Saccharomyces cerevisiae S288C: one gene and its partners. Changing the gene in region 1 together with any one later gene gives a genetic interaction. Each region holds a gene or a part of one and is shown on either strand. Other genes may lie near its edges.

Region 1 (3,920 bases):
AATTCTCTTGTGAGTTTTTCATAATACCAGAGGCGAAGATTTGACCAAATAACCAACAAATGTTGGAGTAACTGGTCATGTAATATCTTAATGCTAAAGGGCAAACTTCCGAAGCATAAGTAACAGCCAAACTTTGGAAACAACCCCATGGTATAGCTGAGAGAATTTGTCCCACAGCAATCATAGCTAAACTTTTACAGTAGTAGAGGATAAAGATATAAGCAGTTAACAAACCAAGTGCTGTAATCATCGTATAACGATTCCCCATAAATTCAACCATATAAGTCGTGATTTGCAAACCAATCATCTCACCACAAAGGACACACATGTTTAAACCAATCTGCCATTGGGAAGTAATTTCGTAAGAACCCTCCCCGTTCAAAGTACCGAATTTTCTCTGAAAAACTGGCAGGGCATACAGTGCGCTCAGTAGTGCGGTATCATAACCTTCCATAACCAGGGTAGTAGACACTAATATGGACCACAGGGCTGCTTTTGGATATTTTAGCAACGCCTGCTTCAAAGTCATGCTTTTTTCCTCGCTGTTAGCTTCATTTGCATCATCAGTAGCGTTCATCTCATTAATCACATTCTCGTTATCTTCGTCAGAATCTCCTAACTGGGCTGAATTGGTGGTGAACTCTAAGTGGTCTAGCTCAAAGGCACTATCCTTTTTCCCTTCTTCAAAATCTTCAGTATTGAAAACCTCCTGTTGGTTTACAATATCTCTTGAAGACTCAGAAATGTTTTTATCCTCATTTTTTGAGGCAGCCTTCTTCTTGCTTACCAATGAAATGATATTTTTCATATTATACTATTTTTTTAGTTGTTTGATGTTCTTCTATGTAGCATCAGAAAGAAACACCAACCCGAAAATTCTTCAAACAATCAATACCAAACCGCTTTATATAAAAAATTAAGATGTCGACATTCCTTATTTTTTACTGAGTTCGTTAAAGTTGGGTACACTCTTGATTACTGTAATTGTCTCTGTATGTCCCTCAAGCCCGGTACGTTGTCATTTTCTAGTACGCATCAACGGAGTGTTACATGATAGATAGACCGAGTAGAATCTATGGCTATGGGGTAATTAAAACCTTAAAGCTCCTTTCGCTGCCATAGTAATACGAATAGACCTTGGCTATAGTAAGTTGCATCTGTACCGTAGAGATTCTTGCAACTCGCTTAAACTCTCGCTTTTAGATAATATTTCTCCTTATTGCGCGCTTCGTTGAAAATTTCGCTAAACACGGGGTTTAAGTTAAAGTTTACAGGATTTATCCGGAAATTTTCGCGGACCCCACACAATTAAGAATTGGCTCGAAGAGTGATAACGCATACTTTTCTTTTCTTTTTTTAGTTCCTAGCGTACCTAACGTAGGTAACATGATTTGGATCGTGGGATGATACAAACAACGTAAGATGAATAGTTCCTTCCTCAATTCTTCTTGCAGCATCATTTTCTTGAGGCGCTCTGGGCAAGGTATAAAAAGTTCCATTAATACGTCTCTAAAAAATTAAATCATCCATCTCTTAAGCAGTTTTTTTGATAATCTCAAATGTACATCAGTCAAGCGTAACTAAATTACATAAATGACTATTTCTGATCATCCAGAAACAGAACCAAAGTGGTGGAAAGAGGCCACAATCTATCAAATTTACCCAGCAAGTTTTAAAGACTCCAATAACGATGGCTGGGGTGATTTAAAAGGTATCACTTCCAAGTTGCAGTATATTAAAGATCTTGGCGTTGATGCTATTTGGGTTTGTCCGTTTTATGACTCTCCTCAACAAGATATGGGGTATGATATATCCAACTACGAAAAGGTCTGGCCCACATATGGTACCAATGAGGACTGTTTTGAGCTAATTGACAAGACTCATAAGCTGGGTATGAAATTCATCACCGATTTGGTTATCAACCACTGTTCTACAGAACACGAATGGTTCAAAGAGAGCAGATCCTCGAAGACCAATCCGAAGCGTGACTGGTTCTTCTGGAGACCTCCTAAGGGTTATGACGCCGAAGGCAAGCCAATTCCTCCAAACAATTGGAAATCTTTCTTTGGTGGTTCAGCTTGGACTTTTGATGAAACTACAAATGAATTTTACCTCCGTTTGTTTGCGAGTCGTCAAGTTGACTTGAATTGGGAGAATGAAGACTGCAGAAGGGCAATCTTTGAAAGTGCTGTTGGATTTTGGCTGGACCATGGTGTAGATGGTTTTAGAATCGATACCGCTGGTTTGTATTCGAAACGTCCTGGTTTACCAGATTCCCCAATTTTTGACAAAACCTCGAAATTACAACATCCAAATTGGGGGTCTCACAATGGTCCTAGGATTCATGAATATCATCAAGAACTACACAGATTTATGAAAAACAGGGTGAAAGATGGTAGAGAAATAATGACAGTCGGTGAAGTTGCCCATGGAAGTGATAATGCTTTATACACCAGTGCAGCTAGATACGAAGTCAGCGAAGTTTTCTCCTTCACGCACGTTGAAGTTGGTACCTCGCCATTTTTCCGTTATAACATAGTGCCCTTCACCTTGAAACAATGGAAAGAAGCCATTGCATCGAACTTTTTGTTCATTAACGGTACTGATAGTTGGGCTACCACCTACATCGAGAATCACGATCAAGCCCGGTCAATTACGAGATTTGCTGACGATTCGCCAAAGTACCGTAAAATATCTGGTAAGCTGTTAACATTGCTAGAATGTTCATTGACAGGTACGTTGTATGTCTATCAAGGTCAGGAGATAGGCCAGATCAATTTCAAGGAATGGCCTATTGAAAAGTATGAGGACGTTGATGTGAAAAACAACTACGAGATTATCAAAAAAAGTTTTGGTAAAAACTCGAAGGAAATGAAGGATTTTTTTAAAGGAATCGCCCTACTTTCTAGAGATCATTCGAGAACTCCCATGCCATGGACGAAAGATAAGCCCAATGCTGGATTTACTGGCCCAGATGTTAAACCTTGGTTTCTCTTGAATGAATCTTTCGAGCAAGGAATCAATGTTGAGCAGGAATCCAGAGATGATGACTCAGTTCTCAATTTTTGGAAAAGGGCCTTGCAAGCCAGAAAGAAATATAAGGAACTTATGATTTATGGTTACGATTTCCAATTCATTGATTTAGACAGTGACCAGATCTTTAGCTTCACTAAAGAGTACGAAGACAAGACGCTGTTTGCTGCTTTAAATTTCAGTGGCGAAGAAATTGAATTCAGCCTCCCAAGAGAAGGTGCTTCTTTATCTTTTATTCTTGGAAATTATGATGATACTGACGTTTCCTCCAGAGTTTTGAAACCATGGGAAGGTAGAATCTACCTCGTCAAATAAAATTAGTGCCGGCTTTTTTTTAGCGCGTACTTTAACGAAATAACACATGATTTTTCACATGATTTTTGTTAGATAAATTTTTTATATGTAAATGATGATAGCGTAAAAGCACTGTTGATAATTTGTTTCACCATTATGGGTAAATGTGTTTTTCTACATGACCCTCGTTCATTATGATATTTAGCGTGTATATAAATGTGAATTCCAAATTATTAATGAGGCATAAGAAGCACTATCCTTTCTCTTCGGATGAAAACAAGGGAGAAGAAACCTGTGCTGGTATTAATGCTGAAATGTCTTGCTAAGAATCATACAAGGTGGTAGTTTTATTTAATAAAGAAAAGAAAAGGACTAGATATAAAAAGTGAAATGAATATAAGATAGCGTTAAGAGATGTCCGCAGTACTTGACACATAATTTAGCGTTTTCTCGGGAAGCTCTGTGATTTTATGATTCAATAACACAGCGTAATTGATTTCGTGATAGTTCGATCCTATATGTAATCTCACGTAACACTCAGGCGAGTTACAAAATCGATTCAACATTGCCGGCTTATGCGTTTACGTCAAGTC
Region 2 (3,268 bases), on another chromosome or scaffold:
AGAATCCTTACGCACATAAGCCCTTTGGTTCTACAAGAGGTCACCTCTCATCTTCGAGAAGAAGATTGCGTACATAATCTACGATATATCCTGTAAATAGAAACAGCTACACTGCTTGAAAGCCTTAACATGATACATTTCTGGTATGATGCCATTGTTGTGCCCTGCCGGGTTTATCGTTTCCTAACAGGCACGTCACTTATAACGAGGTGCCTGTCGTTTACCGCCCAAGCCGGTTTTTTCGCTGGAGAGTACGGTACTACTAGCCCACCACACGTTCGTGGCCAGGTTGATAGGCCACCGTTGAGCAAAGGGCAGTAAAATATATAAAAGAGGAACAAGCGCTTCCATTAAGAGCACTGCTAAGCCTACTCGTTTTCTAGTTCTCTGAAAAAAGGTAGCCTAAAACAAGCGCCATATCATATATATTTATACAGATTAGACGTACTCAAAATGTCTCAGAACGTTTACATTGTATCGACTGCCAGAACCCCAATTGGTTCATTCCAGGGTTCTCTATCCTCCAAGACAGCAGTGGAATTGGGTGCTGTTGCTTTAAAAGGCGCCTTGGCTAAGGTTCCAGAATTGGATGCATCCAAGGATTTTGACGAAATTATTTTTGGTAACGTTCTTTCTGCCAATTTGGGCCAAGCTCCGGCCAGACAAGTTGCTTTGGCTGCCGGTTTGAGTAATCATATCGTTGCAAGCACAGTTAACAAGGTCTGTGCATCCGCTATGAAGGCAATCATTTTGGGTGCTCAATCCATCAAATGTGGTAATGCTGATGTTGTCGTAGCTGGTGGTTGTGAATCTATGACTAACGCACCATACTACATGCCAGCAGCCCGTGCGGGTGCCAAATTTGGCCAAACTGTTCTTGTTGATGGTGTCGAAAGAGATGGGTTGAACGATGCGTACGATGGTCTAGCCATGGGTGTACACGCAGAAAAGTGTGCCCGTGATTGGGATATTACTAGAGAACAACAAGACAATTTTGCCATCGAATCCTACCAAAAATCTCAAAAATCTCAAAAGGAAGGTAAATTCGACAATGAAATTGTACCTGTTACCATTAAGGGATTTAGAGGTAAGCCTGATACTCAAGTCACGAAGGACGAGGAACCTGCTAGATTACACGTTGAAAAATTGAGATCTGCAAGGACTGTTTTCCAAAAAGAAAACGGTACTGTTACTGCCGCTAACGCTTCTCCAATCAACGATGGTGCTGCAGCCGTCATCTTGGTTTCCGAAAAAGTTTTGAAGGAAAAGAATTTGAAGCCTTTGGCTATTATCAAAGGTTGGGGTGAGGCCGCTCATCAACCAGCTGATTTTACATGGGCTCCATCTCTTGCAGTTCCAAAGGCTTTGAAACATGCTGGCATCGAAGACATCAATTCTGTTGATTACTTTGAATTCAATGAAGCCTTTTCGGTTGTCGGTTTGGTGAACACTAAGATTTTGAAGCTAGACCCATCTAAGGTTAATGTATATGGTGGTGCTGTTGCTCTAGGTCACCCATTGGGTTGTTCTGGTGCTAGAGTGGTTGTTACACTGCTATCCATCTTACAGCAAGAAGGAGGTAAGATCGGTGTTGCCGCCATTTGTAATGGTGGTGGTGGTGCTTCCTCTATTGTCATTGAAAAGATATGATTACGTTCTGCGATTTTCTCATGATCTTTTTCATAAAATACATAAATATATAAATGGCTTTATGTATAACAGGCATAATTTAAAGTTTTATTTGCGATTCATCGTTTTTCAGGTACTCAAACGCTGAGGTGTGCCTTTTGACTTACTTTTCCGCCTTGGCAAGCTGGCCGGGTGATACTTGCACAAGTTCCACTAATTACTGACATTTGTGGTATTAACTCGTTTGACTGCTCTACAATTGTAGGATGTTAATCAATGTCTTGGCTGCCTTCATTCTCTTCAGGCTCTATTAATTTTAACCGTTATAAGTTCCTTTTCTCCCTTGGAAGCAAACATCAACTGCCTTAAAATCTGGTGGCGAGGAAAGAGGAAATGGCATGTACTAATGATGGTCCTAATAAATATCCCGAAATTGTGAGTGTTAAGCACCTGTTCCAACATTCGGGATCCAAGCATGAATTTAGTGCTGGTAAACGATTTTCAAAATCCATTGGTAAAATATTCAAACGAAACTCTGCTTTGAAAACTTCTAGAACTGAAACGGCAAATCATAAAATGGAATTGAAAAAAAGAGAGGGTGTTACCTTATTGCCACCTGTCCCAGAATCATTATTACATAAACTCAATTCTTGGTTGGAAACTTTTTCTTCCACCAAGAACATGAAAATCGAAGAAAACAAAATTGTTATTAATGAAAAAGAGATTCGGGATTCAGTCTCTTACTACCCTGATAAGAATGGAGGAAGTGCTGTATTTTGTTACTTGCCCGACCTTGTGCTATATTATAAGCCGCCTATAAAAGTCACAGGCAAGCAATGTCCAATAAAGAGAAGTCCTTGGGAATCGATGGAAATCCAATATCAAAAGTTTATGTACCCCTTAGAAAGGTTGGAAAGACAGTTTGAGGAAGTTCCATTTAGGCCCTGGTATTTTGCAATGCGATTAAAGGAACTTTACAGATGCTGTGAAAGGTCTTTTACTAACGCGGCAAATAGAGGAAAGGCAAGGTTATTGCGGGGGAAGCAAAGGACGAAAAAATCGTATCATAAGACTGTCAACCTGGTATCAGCGAAGATTTCCACCCATTCAAATGCGCCGTCGCCGGGCTGAGAAACAAAAAAAGTGACTAAGTTCTGTCATTCTATCATTATTGTAATTAGTTATGTAGGACATATATATCCATAGTGATCTCCTTTTGATCAAAGAAGACACTGAAAAGTCGTAAGTTCGTAAAAAAAGTATGAAAATCGTTCCAGCCATTGCTTATAGCCATCCTAGTAGGATACTAGAAAAAAAACAAACCTCAAAGATAAAAAGAAAAGGTGAAGCTATTACCGAATTAGAACATAAGATAATACAGTGAGTATAAAGGTGAGACCTGCTCAATAATCTGGTAACCATTTCTCGTTTGGACCGTCTGTTAAAGTAGAAAAATTCATTTGTAAGCATAATAGCCTATTTCTTAATGTATCTTGTTGGAATTTGCAATCTTTGGAAGCACTAACGTCATCGATATCAGATTGGTAAGGTGTACTGTCCATTGAGGAAGTTAAAAAGGTACTATTATTGTGGTTGTTAGTGTATTCATACTTTTCCATACTTCCGTCACTATTATACG
Region 3 (3,587 bases), on another chromosome or scaffold:
ATTACGAGGCAACTGTGAGATAGTTGACTTGAACAGGAATGGTGGATGAGCGTTAAGTATTTATCGATGTTGTATTTTATTGAGCACAGTTCTTACCGGTGATCTCTCGTTGTTGTAAACATTCGATATCATATGCATCATAAAAGTTTACATTTAGTCTTTATTTGCATCAACGCAAACCAGGGAAGTACAATAAAATAAGCATTCTATGAACTCGGAGAGCTGACGAAAAAATTTTATATTTTATATGTTGCGGATGAATTATTAATGCCATTATATAAAAATAGGTTATCAATAGGAACGTAATGGTGTGTGATAAGCTTTATAGCCTCTTGAACCACTGCACCTCCAAAAAAGGCCATTACGGAATAGTTATCGTCGACTCGTAAACCAATAAACTCATCTTTATCCTCTGCAGTTACTGCCGGTTGCTCCCAGAATTGGACCATAACTAATGCATCTAAAAGGGCATTCGAGGTGCTAAAAATACCTAACAAGTCACTTTTTGGCGGCAATATTTTCCTGACCTCCCCGTAATGAGAACAAAATGTCTCCAAGACATCCTGTGAAACTATTTTTTTACTGCGAGCCAAACTTTCCTCCACACGAGACTTGTCAAGCTTTGCTTTTACTTCATACAGTTTCTTGAGTCTGATATAATTTTCCGTTGTTGACTCCATATCTGGGAGAGTGCCCGTTAAAGGTTGAAAGCTGAGCTCCCCATTCTCTTTAGCAATATTTTTCAAAGTCAATAATAGTGTGAGAATCTCGTAGTTATAAGTATCATGCCAATCGTTCCCATAATCTGATATTTCCAAATTTCGGAGCAGATCTTCCAGTTCTTTACAACAATCATTTTGAGAGCAGGCCAAGTAAGCATAGCGTTTAGCTTCCACATAATTGGGTTCGTAGATAACATCATTCCCTAAAGGAAGGCAAATTTGGTCTAAAACTTTCTTCATCTGATCAATCGTTATCCTCCCATTATTACCATCCCTTTCAAGTTTTGCAATACACTTCATGAGCAAAACAGTATATGGAATACCAGAAAACGTGGCTGTATCCATTTTACTTAGGTCAAATGTATCTACGTAATTTATTAGTTCAGGCCAAGGGTTCTGTAACCGTAAATCATACTTCTTACTATCTGGGTGTGCTTGCAAAACAAAATGTGTTTCTGAGAGTACCAGATATATATATCCATAAAATCCAGAGACGAAAGTGTTTAGAACAGGCGGAAACTTTGTTCCTCTCTGCCGCCTAATCTCATTTAAATCGAGCATCGCAGTTTGCTCACCAATACAAGTCAAGATCACCACCGAGAAGCGGGTCCAATCATACTGAGGTTGCTGTAACGTCTTTCTAAGGTCATTTTCCTCATATTCTAGCTGTTTAGAAGCCAATGGCTCAAGATCTTTTTTAAGCTCTGCTAAAAACAGAGAACCCGATTGAACTGCACACTCTACTTTGAGCCAAGTAAGAGATGATATTCCGGCAAGCACCAGATTCTTAAAAACTTCCTGCAGCAAAGGTGTAGCAGGTCCTACCACGCACACACGGGACCGGTTCAAACTATCTTGGCCCAATGCTCCCCATAGTCTCAGCTGTCTATCATATCTTTCCATATTTTCATCTACGGCTGTCTAGTTGGCCTAAGAAAGAAAGAGAGGCGACTCATTTTTTTGACGTCAATCGTCTGACTTGTCCTTCTATTTCATTGCTAGGCTAGAAAGCTTAGCTCTTACAACCCCGCTCGTTGCAGCCGAGTGAAAAGGGGATTGCGAAAGGCGTTAGAGGGGATAAAAAGGGGCCCTTTAAAAAAAAGACGGAAAAACCGGGAAGATGCAACGGCTAAATCGCAATATATAAACAGGTGAGATAGAAAAGAAAAAAATCAGTTAACCTCTTTCCTCAATTCCAATGCTTGACCGTAAATTCTCTTTATTTGGTATACGAAAGATTAAACTTTCAAAGCTCCAACACAAGAATGCACAGAACTTACTCTTTAAGAAATCAAAGAGCTCCAACGGCTGCTGAGCTACAAGCTCCTCCACCACCACCATCCTCAACGAAGTCCAAGTTCTTCGGAAAGGCCTCTATTGCGTCTAGTTTTAGAAAAAATGCGGCTGGTAACTTTGGGCCAGAGTTGGCTCGTAAATTATCTCAATTGGTTAAGACTGAAAAAGGTGTCCTTAGAGCTATGGAAGTTGTTGCCAGCGAACGCCGTGAAGCTGCAAAGCAACTGTCTCTATGGGGTGCTGACAATGATGATGATGTTTCCGACGTAACCGACAAATTAGGCGTCTTAATATATGAGTTGGGTGAACTACAGGACCAGTTCATCGATAAATATGATCAATACAGAGTCACATTAAAATCAATTAGGAACATTGAAGCCTCTGTTCAACCTTCGAGAGATCGTAAGGAAAAGATCACAGATGAAATTGCCCATTTGAAATATAAAGATCCTCAATCAACAAAAATCCCAGTTTTAGAGCAAGAACTAGTTCGTGCCGAAGCTGAATCTTTGGTTGCGGAGGCTCAATTATCGAATATCACACGTGAAAAATTAAAGGCTGCTTATAGTTATATGTTTGATTCATTAAGAGAGCTTTCTGAAAAATTTGCCCTGATTGCTGGATACGGAAAGGCCTTATTGGAGCTGCTAGATGACTCTCCTGTCACTCCAGGTGAAGCTAGACCAGCGTACGATGGCTATGAAGCTTCTCGCCAAATTATTATGGATGCTGAATCGGCCTTGGAATCTTGGACCCTAGACATGGCTGCAGTCAAACCAACTCTTTCATTTCATCAGACCGTTGATGACGTCTATGAAGACGAAGATGGTGAAGAAGAAGAAGAACCTGAAATCCAAAATGGAGATATCCCCGGTCAAGTAGTCGAAGAAGAGGAAGTTGAATGGACTACTGAAGTTCCTGTAGATGATGAAGCCCATGAGGCCGATCATCATGTTAGTCAAAACGGTCATACCTCCGGTTCTGAAAACATCTGAGTTTTTTCTAATAATTAATATATTCGAACCTTTCTATATTGTGCTTGTTTTTCACCAGCTCGTGTCTACCTATTATTAATTTCATCTGAATTTGGTTCAAGTATTGTTCGGCCAATATTCCGGTATTGTAATCACCTTTATAATTAATTGAACAAATTTTATAAGACCTAATAATTAACCTTTCTCTTGTTCTCCTTTGCCGTAAGAGATTCAACTTTTCGAAGTCTAATTAAATGAATATGATCTATGAAGTATATATGTACAATAAAAATGCCTATATTAATAAAATTCCTGTCCAAATGCCAGGGCACTTATGCCTCCCTCATCAAACCTCCCCAACTATTCTCCTCTTTACTAGCTCTTTTTTGAAAGCTACATCATTGTCTTTGATATACGCCATTCTTTTTTCCAAAGCAGCCTTTGTGGCTATTGCTTTAACCCGATTTCGATATTCTCTTTTTTTCTGGGAAATGTTTGAGGGTAGGTTTGTGGGCTTCTGATGATCTTGTGCTGTATTGGTGCAGCGTAAAGTAGTGGGGATACAACCCAAAAAACGTAGTATTTTTTTTTGTGA
Region 4 (2,679 bases), on another chromosome or scaffold:
TACCCATTCTAGCAAACATCTTATGCAATCTCTTTTTCCCATTTTCATTCCATAGGGATAGTTTGGCATTGACATAGTTAGAATAATAAAAACTGTCGTACAATGAAGAATGCCTCAGTAAGAAAAGGTAGTAATCCGGTTGGATGTTTAACGTCAATGTATCAGGGGTCTTTACTGAGTTTCTACTGCTTGGTGTGAGACGCTTCACTTCATCTTGCAATAAGGGGTATAATCGATTGTAAACTTGAGCATATGCTATATCTAACGAGGTCGTACCAAGTATATTCAACCACAGGTTTGAAAGATTTGTTTCTCCGATAGCAGACAATAATGAATAGATTTGTGCAGATATCGAGTTAACCACTGTTGTGCCTTGAGAATAGTATTCCTCCAAAACACCTTCATATTCATGGATTTGCTTCTTTCGTTGCTTTCTTTTTGAGAGATCATTCGGTCCTATTGAAGAATTACCTCTTTTATTAGATATTGTCTCATCTTCGTCTTCTTCGTCCTCGTCTGTGACTTCATCGGCATCAGTTGCCTCATCGTCACCCCCATTATTATCGTTCTCGTCACCTGAGAGCTCATCGTCACCACTCTCCTCGTCCAGTTCAAGCAATTTATAGTATGCTTCTTTTTGTTCGCCTAATGTGTCATCCACCGTACCGTCGTCAAAACATTGGATGATTTGTGATCCAAATATATTGTCGAGATTCCACGGTCTATGAGCATCCAACACGTAGATGTCTCTCCTGAAACTTTGTTCCCCCGACTTTTCATCTGTATCGATAACATACTCTTGGGGATCGATTTCTAAGAAAGCCTCCAGATCAATAACGCCTCCAAACCCTACTAATAGCAGACTATTTATATTGTCATCCAATTGAGAATAGTGGCGTCGTAATTCAGAGTACCCAAATATCGGTACTATTTGAGATTGTACCAATTGTTTTTTGAATAATAGTGACAACATCTTCGTCGCACACAGCGCATCGATGTTAAGACAAGAAACGAAAATGACCAATTGACATGATGAATGAGACGATGAATTCCTTAAGATTTTGTTGTAGGCTTCGCTAAACTGGCTGATTCCATAATACATGTGCGAGAGTATATTCTTGTTATTATGTGCCTTCTCTCTAGTGTTTATTGCTACACTTTTATTGCTCTATAGTGCGTTGTATAAAGTAGCCACAATGGATTGTTGGCATTACTACAGCTTCATTATTTACTGAAATTTCTTAAAACGCGTTAGATGATATGTTGAAAAAAAAATACGCGTCGTGAATGAAACTTATTAGGTTTTACGACTAGTTAAAGCAAGAGAGAGAAGATCGAATTGACTAAATGTCTTCACTTTGAATTTATTCTAGTAGGATTCGCATGGCTTTTTCATAATAAAAATCTCGTTTATTTATGCTTTTGGTTGGTTTTCCTTTGATAAATGCGGCCCTTGCTTTGTTTGTGGTTGCAACGAGTTCGTCAAATGATAAATTGACGCTTAACACAGACGCATGGGAACCACGTAATTGAATTAATGTTTTCTTCTCGAAACAATTGCAATGTGACTTTCTTGTTAGGCAATGTGAGATGAAAGATGGCCTTTACCTTTGCAGATGTTTGGGTGTGGCTCTGAGCTGTCCTTTATAATTATAGAGATAATTTTGATGAAAGCTCAGAAGACCTTTAATGACGAAAAATAGGCATGGTTTGCCAGGCAAAAAACGACCAAATTTTACTGTAGTATGAGTCAAAGTCGCTGGAGTATCGTTCTCATCTTTGCATTGTTTATTTTTGGCAGCACTGGAGTGAATGCCTTCTTCAATTTCGGTCATCATCAGCAACAGCAACAGCAACAGCAACAATCATATGAAGATCAAGTTTTAAATAACCCTTGTGATGGGTATTTGTGTCCGGACACCCTAACGTGCGTTGCACAGCAGAAAGACTGTCCTTGTCCCTTCCCTAAATCTCAGTTGAAATGTGTCCTTCCTGATAATAAATTTGTTTGCATATCCAAACCAGCCACACACAATGAAAAGTTTAGAGCAATATATGATGACCCTGTCAAGGGCCCCAAAGCAAAGAACAAGGGGTTTAGGGATTGTGGATGGGTATCAGATGCTTACAAAAACCATTGAAATCTGTATAAAAAATACATACACATACATATATACATACGAAGGATTTATCTTCTCATTGATATTCTAGTCTCTATTTCTTCCGGGAACCCATCTCTTATACAATACTTCACCAACTTGAAAACTATTGAACAATTTAGTAAAGTTGTTTGATTTCCATAGTGCTATCGCCTCCTGTTCCGAGATTAGTCTCTCCACGTAGCATAACACAAACGTCTTCTTTGCGCCGCCCACAACACGGGCTATGCTAGAATACCACGTATAATCTTTAGAGACGTCGTGGTCAAGACCCATAACACAAAATTCAGCGTGTTGAAATGGTGGCCCTCTCTTATATAATAAATAATCGCAGCCGAATTTTATACCAGATCTTACGCACCAACCGTGTGATCTGTAGTGATGGTATATAACGTATGATCTGACAAAGGAGTGAATATCTTTATATTTGGCATCGAATTGAAACAGTTTCCCTGCCAGGCACGCGGGAGATATGTCAAGAACAGGAAGTGCAAAAGTTAAAAACATAGCTTCCACTGGC

What was found.
Region 2: mutations in MAL12 (region 1) and SMA1 together harm fitness more than expected from each alone (negative genetic interaction), as found in Saccharomyces cerevisiae (one large-scale study listed by BioGRID).
Region 3: mutations in MAL12 (region 1) and LSP1 together harm fitness more than expected from each alone (negative genetic interaction), as found in Saccharomyces cerevisiae (one large-scale study listed by BioGRID).
Region 4: mutations in MAL12 (region 1) and LCL2 together harm fitness less than expected from each alone (positive genetic interaction), as found in Saccharomyces cerevisiae (one large-scale study listed by BioGRID).

What each region holds. Positions count from the first base shown.
Region 1 is NC_001139.9:1,075,006-1,078,925, forward strand, and holds MAL12 (alpha-glucosidase MAL12), read left to right. Parts: upstream 1-1,593; coding exon 1,594-3,348; downstream 3,349-3,920. Other genes in the region: MAL11 (alpha-glucoside permease), read right to left, coding at 1-808.
Region 2 is NC_001148.4:497,643-500,910, forward strand, and holds SMA1 (Sma1p), read left to right. Parts: upstream 1-2,022; coding exon 2,023-2,760; downstream 2,761-3,268. Other genes in the region: ATP-dependent RNA helicase SUV3, read left to right, coding at 1-77; ERG10 (acetyl-CoA C-acetyltransferase), read left to right, coding at 454-1,650; putative serine/threonine protein kinase SKS1, read right to left, coding at 3,033-3,268. UniProt on the Saccharomyces cerevisiae protein: Involved in spore and ascus formation. Required for the efficient assembly of the precursors of the prospore membrane to a continuous prospore membrane.
Region 3 is NC_001148.4:550,058-553,644, reverse strand, and holds LSP1 (lipid-binding protein LSP1), read left to right. Parts: upstream 1-1,987; coding exon 1,988-3,013; downstream 3,014-3,587. Other genes in the region: ESCRT-II subunit protein SNF8, read left to right, coding at 1-18; ULA1 (Ula1p), read right to left, coding at 237-1,625; AEP3 (Aep3p), read right to left, coding at 3,339-3,587. UniProt on the Saccharomyces cerevisiae protein: Together with PIL1, main component of eisosomes, structures at the cell periphery underneath the plasma membrane that mark the site of endocytosis.
Region 4 is NC_001144.5:344,840-347,518, forward strand, and holds LCL2 (Lcl2p), read left to right. Parts: upstream 1-1,745; coding exon 1,746-2,141; downstream 2,142-2,679. Other genes in the region: DNA replication initiation factor CDC45, read right to left, coding at 1-1,102; tRNA splicing endonuclease subunit SEN2, read right to left, coding at 2,208-2,679. UniProt on the Saccharomyces cerevisiae protein: Probable component of the endoplasmic reticulum-associated degradation (ERAD) pathway that acts upstream of HRD3 and USA1.